Linked DNA regions of Arabidopsis thaliana. The protein of the gene in region 2 interacts with the protein of the main gene of each other region in a biochemical or structural test. Each region holds a gene or a part of one and is shown on either strand. Other genes may lie near its edges. The genes, in order: LHY, DET1 and CUL4.

Region 1 (3,754 bases), on a different chromosome or scaffold from region 2:
GAAATTGACCACATCACCAAGGTTGAAAAAAGTCTTATACTGACCCGAATTTTTCGGGGTAGAGATGATAGAGTTACTTCATGTCCTGTCCTATAGGGCAAGGAGGTTTGGTTTCCATATGGATGGCTAAAAGAATTCATGCAATCCCATTATTTCATCGACTTTAGTGAATATGGGACAATTGTGTCATCCAAATGCAACGCTAGTTATGTTAATTTGGACCTATCTTATGGTCTCAGAGAAGAAAGCTCTCTGTAGAGTTTTTTCTAACAGTAAGTTTGGACAGACCAATCTAATGTTAAGTTTAGTTGAACAGAGTAAATGAAAAAGATAAAAAACGATCGAGATGCAATCCTCGGAACCAACCAACTCTACTTAGCAAAACACACTCTACTTAGACGCCTAATTTCTAGTTGAAGCAATTAGAGAAAAGGAAGAATAAGAAGAACCTTCTATCATCTTTTCCAGACAGTGACAGGCAACTTCTAAACATAGTCATAGATCGATATGAAAAAATGGTACCTTTACACAAGATAACGAAAGTGTTTTAAAAAGATCTGAAAGGATCATCAACTTACCTTTGTGAAGAACTTTTGTGCATGACTTCTGATCTGAACAGCAGTCTTTGTCCCAATATGTTCTGCACACAAAATGAAAAGAAAAGAAGGAATCTCCCAATCAAGAGGAGATAAAGACACTCCTAAACAAAGGAATATAAAATCTCAAAGAGTTCAAACTAAACATTCAAAAGATAAACTTTCGACCTTCAATTCGTTGCCAAGCTCTTCCATAAAGCCTCAAGGCTTCTAGAAACCTCTCATGCTCATCCTCAGTCCATCGCTCTCGCTGCTTTGTTATTGTATATGGCTTTCTTGCCTAAACATTTGAAAACCCAAAAGAAAATCAAATCTTCACACAACAACAGTCCAAATCTCTCAAACAAAAAAACACCAATCTTATTTCATTAGTAGTAGTACCTTAGCTAATAATTCTTCTCCAGATGTATTAGTATCCATAACAGGACCGGTGCAGCTATTCGCTGCTTCAAATCCTCTCTAACAAGTAAAGTATAAAAAAGAAACCATCTTTGATCTCCCCAAACATGAAAGTTTTCAAATTGCAAAGCCGTTGTGATAACCTCTTTAGATTCTAGAGAAACTGCAAAGGAGAAAGTACTTTATGAGAAATATTTATCCACAAACACTAAGATAAGAGTGATGAGCGAAATTCAAAAGAGAAATCTTTTCAAAGTCCACCGTGAAACAGTCGCTGCTTCTCCAGCAGAACTCAAAAGAATTCCCTTTATTATTATTCACAAAAGCCTCACCCAAACGAATCCACCGCAGCCAAAACCTTCACAAATCTTCATATCAGTAATCAATCACCAGATTCGTATCATTTATGCTAACTTTTAGAGCTAATAAGATTTAGTTAATCGCTTCTATAAGTTTCTCAGCAGCCAAACAGAGATCTTAGTATGTTATAGGAATCCTAGAAACTGCTCATAATGTAAACTGTTATACCCTTGAGAGTAGCCATGGAGGAGACAAGTATGCAATCTGACTTATCATCTCACCGGGAACTCCCCGGAGAAGTCATCGTTCCCGGAAATAATCAAATCGGAAGCAAAACAAAAAAAAATCTCTAAAAATAAATTTAAAAAACAGAGAGAAGAAGGAAGAAGATAACTGAAGAAGAAGAAGAAGAAGAAGAAGAAGAAGAAGAAGGAAGACTGTTTTAGGCTGAAGAAGACTGGAAGAAGAAGAAGAGAAGCCAGAAGCAATCTCAGCCACAACAATTTTTCCCCTAATTTTTGGAAAAATTTTAATTGAAAAGTTTATTTGAGGCTGGAACAGCACCAAGGGTATAAATGGAAAAAACAGAAGTCATCGCAGATCGACACGTGGTGATATTGTAGTGGCTGTCTACTGCACTTTTTGGTATATCTCAAGTTGCTTCTCTACGAGCCAGAAGCTTCAATGTGAAGCTCACGTAGGTAAAAGTGAGTGTGGTGGTCCACAATTGCTTACGTGTAAACGATTATTGGTACAAACTTGGACGACTAAACAAGTGGGTACGGTGCCAGCTGTGATGGTGTACTGCTACGTATTGGCTATGCTGGATCTGGGCTTGTAATAAGACATTGTATGGGCCTCACTTTTACGCCTATTCTATATAAATTTGCGTATTAACATAGTTGAATTAAACCCGACAAGCTTGGACTGCTCGGGGAACTTGCGTCTGTATAAAAATCTTCATCTTTTCATATAATATCATGCAATGCCTATACAAAATTTCAACAAATTATCATCGAGAACTTTGGTCAACTTGCTTATATAACATTTGTAGAAATTAAGGAACATTAATTACTCTTAAGTCTTAACCGAAGCATGTAGTATTTATTTATGGAATTCAGCAAACATCATTACACTCATTTTTTTAGATTCCAGCTTACAACTGTGTTTTGCTTAAAGCAGAAGCGTTTAACATAGTTATAGATACTCTAATGTTGGAGCAGAGCTTAGTTGCAATATTTTTTGAAGTTGACGGCCTCATCGGTCAGGAAGCCACTACAAAAGGTTACCGAGAACTTTGGTTAGTTCGGTTCGGTTCTAGGTTAACCAAAAAACAATAGACCAGTTTTTGTTACTAACCGAAGAACTGAACTACCCGAATCTAATTGAAATAACCGAAATTATTCCAAAATAACCAAACAAACCGGATTTAAATATTTCACAAATCTCTACGTTGATGTTTGGAATTATAAAATTTTATCTCTCATTACCTCTCCTTAAACATTAACTAGGACATAACAGTTATTTGAAACATACATTAACAACAATATAATTAAATTAAACGGGCGACTTAGAGTCGTTATCCTTATTAGGAGTAGTATATTGAGCTTCGTTATCCATTCCTGAAGACAATGCAGTTGATGATTCCGTTTCTTTGTTCTTCCCCCACAAGAACATGTAGAGACCCGTTATGGTCACTAGTGATCCAATCACACTGTAGACCAAAAGTTTTAATGTTGTAATTAGTGTTATGCCTAGACAAAATTAATTTGATAGAGATTATCGAAGAAGATACCTTCCAAGGTATAAAGGAGTGTGTAAAATGAGGAAATCAAATAGAGTAGCCGAAATGAGAGTAAGTGGGAAAAACGCCGATGCGAACACAGCTCCTAATTTTTTAATCCCCCATGTTGTTGCAACCGTCGTCATTGCTTGTCCTACCACTCCCTATAATATATGATAAAAAAAAACCACATAAAAAAACCCACATTAATATCTTAAGTTCTTACATACTAATCTTATAATTTTTAAAAAGTTAATTTATAAAGATATGATGTTTGTAACTTACAGCGTATATGATGACGGTGATAACGAATCTATCATCTATGATCCAATCATTAACGTCTCTGCTCTTGTAAAGGCTCAAGAGAGCACATTGAAATGCCGCGAAAATTGACATAAGACAAGTGCTCGAGTATTTGCAAGGGTACTTAATACTTAAAGTCCCTTGAAACAACATCCATAGAGATAGCAACACTGTTCCTATGGTTAAATAAAGACATCCAAGAAGCCAATTATTGGCCTTGTCTTGATCGTTGTTGTTGTGGGAAGCCCCACCGTGAGAGTGAGAGTGAGAGTTTGATATTTGTGGGCCTTTGTAAAATGTTAAGAACAAAGCTCCACTTATACAGATCAAAGTTCCAATCACCTTCAACATTCCTGCTTTGGTCTTTAGAATC
Region 2 (3,754 bases):
TGAGAGAATTCATCCTCGATTTTGAAGACATCGCCGAAGGATTTTGTTGGTACTTTCTTCTTCTCTTTGACTTTCTCTCTGACTCCATCATCTCAATTTCTCTCTTCTTCTTTGCTCTAATCACAGACTTCTCTTCTTTCCTCTTCTGTCTCAATTTGATTTCTTAAAAAAACAAAAAAAAAGATGGGTTTAATCAAGAACACAGTTCATTACTGTTGTGTCTCAAGAGACAATCAGATTCTTTACTCTTACAACGGTGGAGACCAAACCAACGAGAGTCTTGCTGCTCTGTGTTTAGAAAAGTCTCCTCCTTTTCATACTTGGTACTTTGAAACTATTGGTAAAAGAAGATTTGGGTTTTTAATTGGAGATGGGTTTGTTTATTTCGCCATTGTTGATGAGGTTTTGAAGAGATCTAGTGTTCTTAAGTTTCTTGAACATTTGAGAGATGAATTTAAGAAAGCTGCTAGGGAGAATTCTAGAGGAAGTTTTACTGCTATGATTGGTTCTATTAATGTTGAAGATCAGCTTGTTCCTGTTGTTACTAGACTTATAGCTTCTCTTGAACGTGTTGCTGAGAGTAGTAGTAACAATGAATTGAAGAGTAGTAATCTTGGTGAACAAAGCGAAGGTTCGAATTCTACTAAAGCTCCGTTGTTGGGGAGGTTAAGTAAGCAAGAGAAGAAGAAAGGGAAAGATCATGTGATTGAGCTTGAGGAACACAGGAAGTCTAATGATAGAGGGAACATAACCGATGATTCAGCGGGAGCTGGAACGTCGTTGGAGAAGGAGTGTGTGTCGAGTAGTGGACGTTCTGTTACTCAAAGCTTTGAATGGAAATGGCGGCGGTTAGTTCAGATTGTTCTTGCTATTGATGCAGCTATTTGCTTGACACTGTTTGGTATTTGGTTGGCTATATGTCGGGGTATCGAGTGTACACGTTCGTGATTGTGCAGACAGAAAATCGGATAAACAGAGTCGATTCTTTACATTCCCTTGTGCATTCCAATAGGCAAAAAATATGTTGATTGTAATGTGAAGCATTCTTAAGTTATAATTTGGCTTATGTATTGCTTTAGTCACAGCTTTGAAATATGTACAGTCGGATTCTAGATTCTGTTCAGTGTTCTTTGTGACTTCACGATACAGTAACGTCCATCTTTATATGATTTAAATTGTTTGAGCTTCAACTTCAAACTCAATCCTCTTTCAAGTTCCCTAAGTAAGGCCCTCACTAGCAAAGAAGCTGGCTTTGAGATGCATAAGGCTTTACCAACAAGTGTATTGATTGTATGATTCGTTCCAACAAGTGTATTGCCACTGCAGTTCTTGTTGTTACCGATCAACAAAATGGGAAGTAAAAAATGGTAGGTAGATAGGAACCGATCCGAAAAAAGTTCCGAAACCGAACTGAACAGTCACAAAATCCGAACGGATAATGAATTCACCTACCCAAATTACTTCAGCCGAATCCGATTCCGAATCAAAAACCGAATAAATATCCGCTAATCCGAAATAAAATTATATCTATCTAAAAATATTAGTTACAGGTTTATACCCAAAAATTTCTAAATAACAAAAATATTAGTTACAGGTTTATACGTCCGAATTTTTAAGTTATATTTGTTACAATTATACAATTTTTTTTGCAAAATTAAACCAATTTTATTAAAACGGAACAATATATATTTTTTTTTCTCAAAAACCGATCCGAATCCGACACTATCCGAACCGAAACCAAACCGAATAGTCATAAAACCCGACCGGATAATAAACTTTCCCATCTGAATCCGAAAATCCGAACCGAATCCGATCCAAAATCCGATCCAAAATGTGAATGTCCATACTTAAGCTCCGACTAAGCAAAGCAATACAACAAGAGAAATTGTACAAAGAGGAAGTAGTACCGATAAGTGCCAATGACCCAATTTTGCAACTATTGGGCCATTTTCAAACACCAATATCAGGCCCATTAACAGATTGAGAGAAACCAACCTCCCAAAAGAGAAAAATCAACAGAACCAAAACAAAGCCACAGTATCTCTCTCTCTCTCTCTCTCACTCACATCGTCTCCTCCATTTTCACCACTAAAACCAGACCAAAAACCTTCCTTTATTCGTGCCCTTCTGGGCCAACAAATGTTCACAAGCGGTAACGTCACCGCTCGGGTCTTCGAACGTCAGATTCGAACTCCTCCTCCCGGCGCTTCCGTCAGTCCCCAAATCTCTCTCTCTGTCTCAATCTCTCAATCTCAATCTCTCTTTTGCTTATCTCTTTACCTTCAATGATAGGTAAATCGTGCAAGACACTTCTACGAAAACCTAGTCCCAAGCTACACACTCTACGATGTCGAATCTCCCGATCACTGTTTCCGCAAATTCACAGAAGACGGACTCTTCCTCATTAGTTTCAGCCGTAACCATCAAGAACTCATAGTCTATCGTCCTTCTTGGCTCACTTACTCCACAACCGATGATTCCACAACCACCCTACCTCCTCTACCTCGCCGTGCTTCGAAATTCGACAGCTTTTTCACTCAACTCTACTCAGTCAATCTCGCTTCTTCTAACGAACTCATCTGCAAAGACTTCTTCCTCTATCACCAAACTCGTCGTTTCGGTCTTTTCGCTACTTCAACAGCTCAGATCCATGATTCATCATCTCCTTCTAATGACGCTGTTCCTGGTGTTCCTTCCATTGATAAGATTACTTTCGTACTTCTTCGATTAGATGATGGTGTTGTTCTTGATGAGAGGGTTTTTCTTCATGATTTCGTTAATCTGGCTCATAATATGGGTGTGTTTCTTTATGATGATCTTTTAGCGATTTTGTCGTTGCGTTATCAGAGGATTCATCTTCTTCAGATTAGAGATTCTGGTCATCTTGTTGATGCTCGTGCTATTGGTTACTTTTGTCGTGAAGATGATGAGCTTTTCCTCAATTCTAGCTCTCAGGTAAGCAAAGTTTTTACAGTATCTTTCTCTGGAGTAGATAAAGTTTTGAGCTTTGTGAGGTTTTTGATTGTTAGGCAATGATGAGTCAAGATAAGAGTAAACAGCAGAGTTTATCTGGGAGTAAGGAAGATGATACTGGAGAGAATGGGTTGCGTCATAGTCTAAGTCAGCCAAGTGGTTCGAATTCGTTTCTTAGTGGTGTTAAGCAACGGTTACTTTCTTTTATCTTCAGGGAGATTTGGAATGAAGAATCAGATAACGTAATGGTTCGTTGTTCTTCAACTTCTCTTATCACTTTATGAAATTGCTCTGAGTTTCACAATCTTGTACATTAAATGGGTTATGTTTGTGTACTGCTTGGCTTCCTCTGTTAGATGTTGAGTAGGATAACAGAAGTTTAAGGTTTAGGATTGATGCAGTTGACAGTGACTTCTTAGTTGATGCAGCTTATCATATACATGCTCTTTGCATTTTCGACCTTTCGTTGTAGTTTGCAATGTGTGTCGTATTGAAACACTACATCTTGGATACGAACTAATCGAAAGGCACTATTTGATTTGACAGAGAGTTCAAAGTCTTAAGAAGAAGTTTTATTTCCATTTCCAGGATTATGTCGACTTGATTATATGGAAGGTAATCAATTATGTGTTTCTGCTTTTGGAATCTGTGTCAAGTGTTTGGATTTGATGGTGAAAAAAACTAATCTTTTGTGTATTCTTGATGTCCAGGTTCAGTTTTTGGATCGACAACACCTGCTAATCAAATTTGGAAGTGTAGACGGTGGGGTAAGCTCTCTATA
Region 3 (3,754 bases), on a different chromosome or scaffold from region 2:
CAAACTAAAATTGGATAATATGCAAGCCAACACAAGAATAATAGGAGATTGGAACCTTTTCAAGAACAACAAGTATATGACGTTCGAGAAGTTGCCTTTCAACAGTTGTGATCAATGGTTTCCTGGTTACTGCATCTATGTAGAGTATGCATCTCTCATTCTCTTCATGCAACCTTCCCTGCACCAATCACCAGTAGAAACCTTAGAAAGACTATTAACCTGTAGTGCAGCTAATCATAAGGAAACTATATGAAGTCATGCAAGGCACCTCAACATGCTTCAGGTACTCCGGAACGTCAGACTGCTGCATGTATTTCATTCCTTCAGCGGCATAAAATTCAGAGGTCCCTTCAAGGAAAGGTTTCTCAAAGCTTTCCATATAAATTCCCAGTGCAGTAAACATCTTCAAAAGATGGCTTAGTAGAGTCCTATTAACAGCTTCTGCTAACCTGCAGGACCAATATCATGCAAGAAAGTTCAGCAGATTCAGATGAAAACATTATCCAATATATAAATGACATACACTAGTCCTGATTTGCCTTGAAATTTTACCTATAACAAGTTATCACTGCTAGACAGGAATAGTTCATAGACCATCCAAACTTACCATATTCACTCAAAAGCCAGAAAAATAAGTTGAGGTAAAGTGGCTTTATGAAATTATATTCTCAATGTGATAAATCAACCCTCGTTTAATTTTGGAAGACCAGAAGGTTAAAAATTTACCTTTCTTTTTCAATCATACTTAAGAGACCTTTAACCGTCCTCTGCTCAACTTCAGGGGCCAGAGAAAGATGCTTCCGGAAAAGCTGCAAACCCATCTCCCATAATGAACGTACATTTGGATTCTGTATCACATACTTCCTATCCAGAGTCAAGGCTATACTACGAATCATGAGCATCTGGTCACAAAAGTCTTGCCAGCATTTCTCAACACGTGACAAGAAAACAGTCAGATCAGTGTTCTGCCCAACTAAAGATTGCAAAGCTGCAGAGATGTGTTCTTCACACTCCTTCTCAATCTGGTCATAAAGCTTTCCATCCAACTTATGCAAGCAAAGGTTATCAACAGCCTGAAAAAACAATCACAATCTCATCAGCACGACATTTACACATACGAATAAGAAAGGAAGTAAGTAAATTTGCACGTAACCTAACCTGGTAAAGGCTCTCGAGGTCAAACGAAATTTTTTTTTTGAGGAATATAGCTCTGATAGCTGACTGCAACTTCTCCCATGTATTCTCCTCAAAGTTTGTTGGTAGAGTTGGTTTGGCTTCACATATATAATACAAATGGTACAATCAGAACCCTAATTATGAAAACACTTTTATCTTCAATTTGCTAGCCAGTCACAGTAAAGATGATTCTCAAGATGTTTTCTAATGGCACAAATTAGGTTTGGTGAGAGCTAAGCCAACTAGATTGTGCACAACAAAGATTCCGGATCTTAAGTACCTAGATCAGGCTAGACAAAGAGATTCCAACTTAGAAGAAATACAAAAACCCAAATCACTCATTCACATCAAAATTCAACAGTCACACTCAATTTTCCACTGTAATTTAACATCAAAACTCACACAAAACTTCCATCAATCGCAAGCCAATGAAAACCCTAAAAATCACGAACCTTAACAATTGTATCATTTCAAATCAATCCAGAGCATCAATTGCACAGTAGAGTAAAAGACCCAAATCAAATCCTAAGATTACGATCAAAATCGTAAAGATGAAAGAAATCGAAATCGAGCGAAACCTTTATTGAGCTTGATTACAAACTTCTTAGTAGGTTGCGGAAGTGTAGCTTTCTTCCGAGAGAGATTAGCGGCGGCGGGAGTTGGATCTTCCTCCATATGAAAGCCAACAACCTTGTCGGCGGTATTAGGGTGTTGAGGGGAATGGTGGAGGTCGTTTTTGGCCTTTTTCATCGGAGGAGAAGAGTAAGAAGAGTCGTCGGAGGCAGAAGCGGCGGAGAAAGTAGAGCGTTTGGTAGGAAGAGACATGAAAATGGGTGAAAATTGTGTGAGAGAATCACGAAGAGGAAGAAGAAGACATCAATCCTAAATAATAACAACCCTTTCTCTCTACCAAAAGCGCACTGTGCACTCTCTCTCTTTTTTTTTTTGCTCAAACCTACGCGAAAACTCGCGATTTAGACCCGACCCGAGAAATGAAGATTTTTTGTTTATTTATATACTCTGAATAAAATCAGAATTATTTTATTTATACATTCATAAATCATAATTACTATATGATAAAAAAAATATTATTGATAAAAATAGACATATACCGCAATGATTAGATGTGCGTTGTTTTAATGGTTACTAATCACAAAAGTGAAAAACAAAAAAATAAAAAATAATAATCAATTGTTGCCTGTTTTGTATGGTTATTTTTTATAACTACTTTTAAATTTTAACTACTTTTTATTTTTAGTTTTTGACAACTGATAAATCATATCTATTGTATATTTTTAGAGTCGAATTTTTATTAAGTCATTTTACGATTTAAAGAATAAAGAATCGATCACACGAGTCGATGCTTGATATTTAGATCATTTTTGATATATATTTTTATTTTTATTTTAAAGAAAATTGAGTTGATTTTTTTTCCATATATTTCTTTTATTTTTTAAAAAAAACTATTTTAAAAGAATATATTAGAATAAAATGCCTATAAAATAGACTCACCTATAACGTGGAGAATGGAGATAAAAATAGAGATGATTAAATACTTTTAGCAGTCGGTAATTTCAGGCAGAAAATTGTGTGATGTTAAAAGACATGAACGAAGAATCATCACTTGACAATATGAATAAATATAATATGATCGATGTCATGGATTAGCCAATGTGGGGCGTGTTGACTTGCTGCTCCACAGGGTTTTTGGACTTCCGGTTTAGGGTTTGGTTCTGATTACAAAATATGGGCTTATCAAATTATTTACAGGAGTTAATACTTTGGGCCTGATTACAAAGGTTTAACCGAAGCCTATCAAGCAGATAAGAGACGAGATGAGATTGTTAGAGCATCTCCATCGGCAAAAGTGGTAGAGAGTATCTCAAAAAGTAAATAAATTAATATTTTAATCAAATTAATATATTTTAATTAGTTTGAAGTAAATGAACTATTAATTGAATGACAACTCTCAATAAATGCTGAGAATAGTCTCTCTTGCCAGTTTCTCCACTTTTCTCTTCTTCTCTCATACTTTTTCTCTTTTTAATTATTATTTAATTGATGAGTATCTCAATCAGATATTCCGATGGAGATGGTCTTACAAGTGTTACCGAGACGTACCAATTGGCGAACTCATATAACTTGTGCTGTTGTGCGAATGTGTTTTGATTAGTGAGGGTTCTTGGGCCAAAAAACATGGCTGGTTTTTAAGTCGCAATTGCAAGGATGAATATTATTACAGCCACAGCCTCAACGACTGCATGGTCTTAAAACTTTTTATTACATGTTGATTAGCCTATGGAATTGTATAATTACTAATACAAAATGGTGTTCATTACATTCTCACCTCGCTTAAACTTACTAATAATTTTTTTTTATTTCTTTAATCCCTCATTAACATGTCAACACATTTATTTTTTCTTTATTCATGTTTCAAGACTATAGAATTTCTCAATTAATCCCAATTGATACTAATAATAGCAAATTGTAAGTCTCTTGGATCGTTGGATCAATATTTTCACATGCAAACATGTGAAAATGAGGAGTTATTGAAAAATTGTAAGCTTGACATAAAACA

Evidence for each region.
Region 1: the proteins of DET1 (region 2) and LHY form a complex in vitro, tested with the Arabidopsis thaliana proteins (one study listed by BioGRID).
Region 3: the proteins of DET1 (region 2) and CUL4 form a complex in vitro, tested with the Arabidopsis thaliana proteins (one study listed by BioGRID).

What each region holds. Positions count from the first base shown.
Region 1 is NC_003070.9:36,046-39,799, forward strand, and holds the start of LHY (Homeodomain-like superfamily protein), read right to left. Parts: upstream 1,713-3,754; 5' UTR 1,524-1,712; exon of another isoform or gene 1,354-1,523; 5' UTR 1,328-1,353; exon of another isoform or gene 1,159-1,327; 5' UTR 1,017-1,158; coding exon 978-1,016; intron 877-977; coding exon 765-876; intron 641-764; coding exon 579-640; intron 127-578; coding exon of another isoform or gene 45-126; intron 1-44. Other genes in the region: UMAMIT28 (nodulin MtN21 /EamA-like transporter family protein), read right to left, coding at 2,853-3,009, 3,091-3,242, 3,364-3,754. UniProt on the Arabidopsis thaliana protein: Transcription factor involved in the circadian clock. Binds to the promoter region of APRR1/TOC1 and TCP21/CHE to repress their transcription. Represses both CCA1 and itself.
Region 2 is NC_003075.7:6,344,404-6,348,157, forward strand, and holds the start of DET1 (light-mediated development protein 1 / deetiolated1 (DET1)), read left to right. Parts: upstream 1-2,007; 5' UTR 2,008-2,139; coding exon 2,140-2,211; intron 2,212-2,292; coding exon 2,293-2,955; intron 2,956-3,029; coding exon 3,030-3,221; intron 3,222-3,519; coding exon 3,520-3,588; intron 3,589-3,683; coding exon 3,684-3,740; intron 3,741-3,754. Other genes in the region: AT4G10170 (SNARE-like superfamily protein), read left to right, coding at 184-948. UniProt on the Arabidopsis thaliana protein: Component of light signal transduction machinery. Involved in repression of photomorphogenesis in darkness by participating in the CDD complex, a complex probably required to regulate the activity of ubiquitin conjugating enzymes (E2s).
Region 3 is NC_003076.8:18,734,653-18,738,406, forward strand, and holds the start of CUL4 (cullin4), read right to left. Parts: upstream 2,164-3,754; 5' UTR 2,002-2,163; coding exon 1,755-2,001; intron 1,275-1,754; coding exon 1,159-1,274; intron 1,074-1,158; coding exon 727-1,073; intron 450-726; coding exon 269-449; intron 179-268; coding exon 56-178; intron 1-55. UniProt on the Arabidopsis thaliana protein: Component of the CUL4-RBX1-CDD (COP10-DDB1a-DET1) E3 ubiquitin-protein ligase complex which mediates the ubiquitination and subsequent proteasomal degradation of target proteins. Participates in the CDD complex to light-mediated control of development.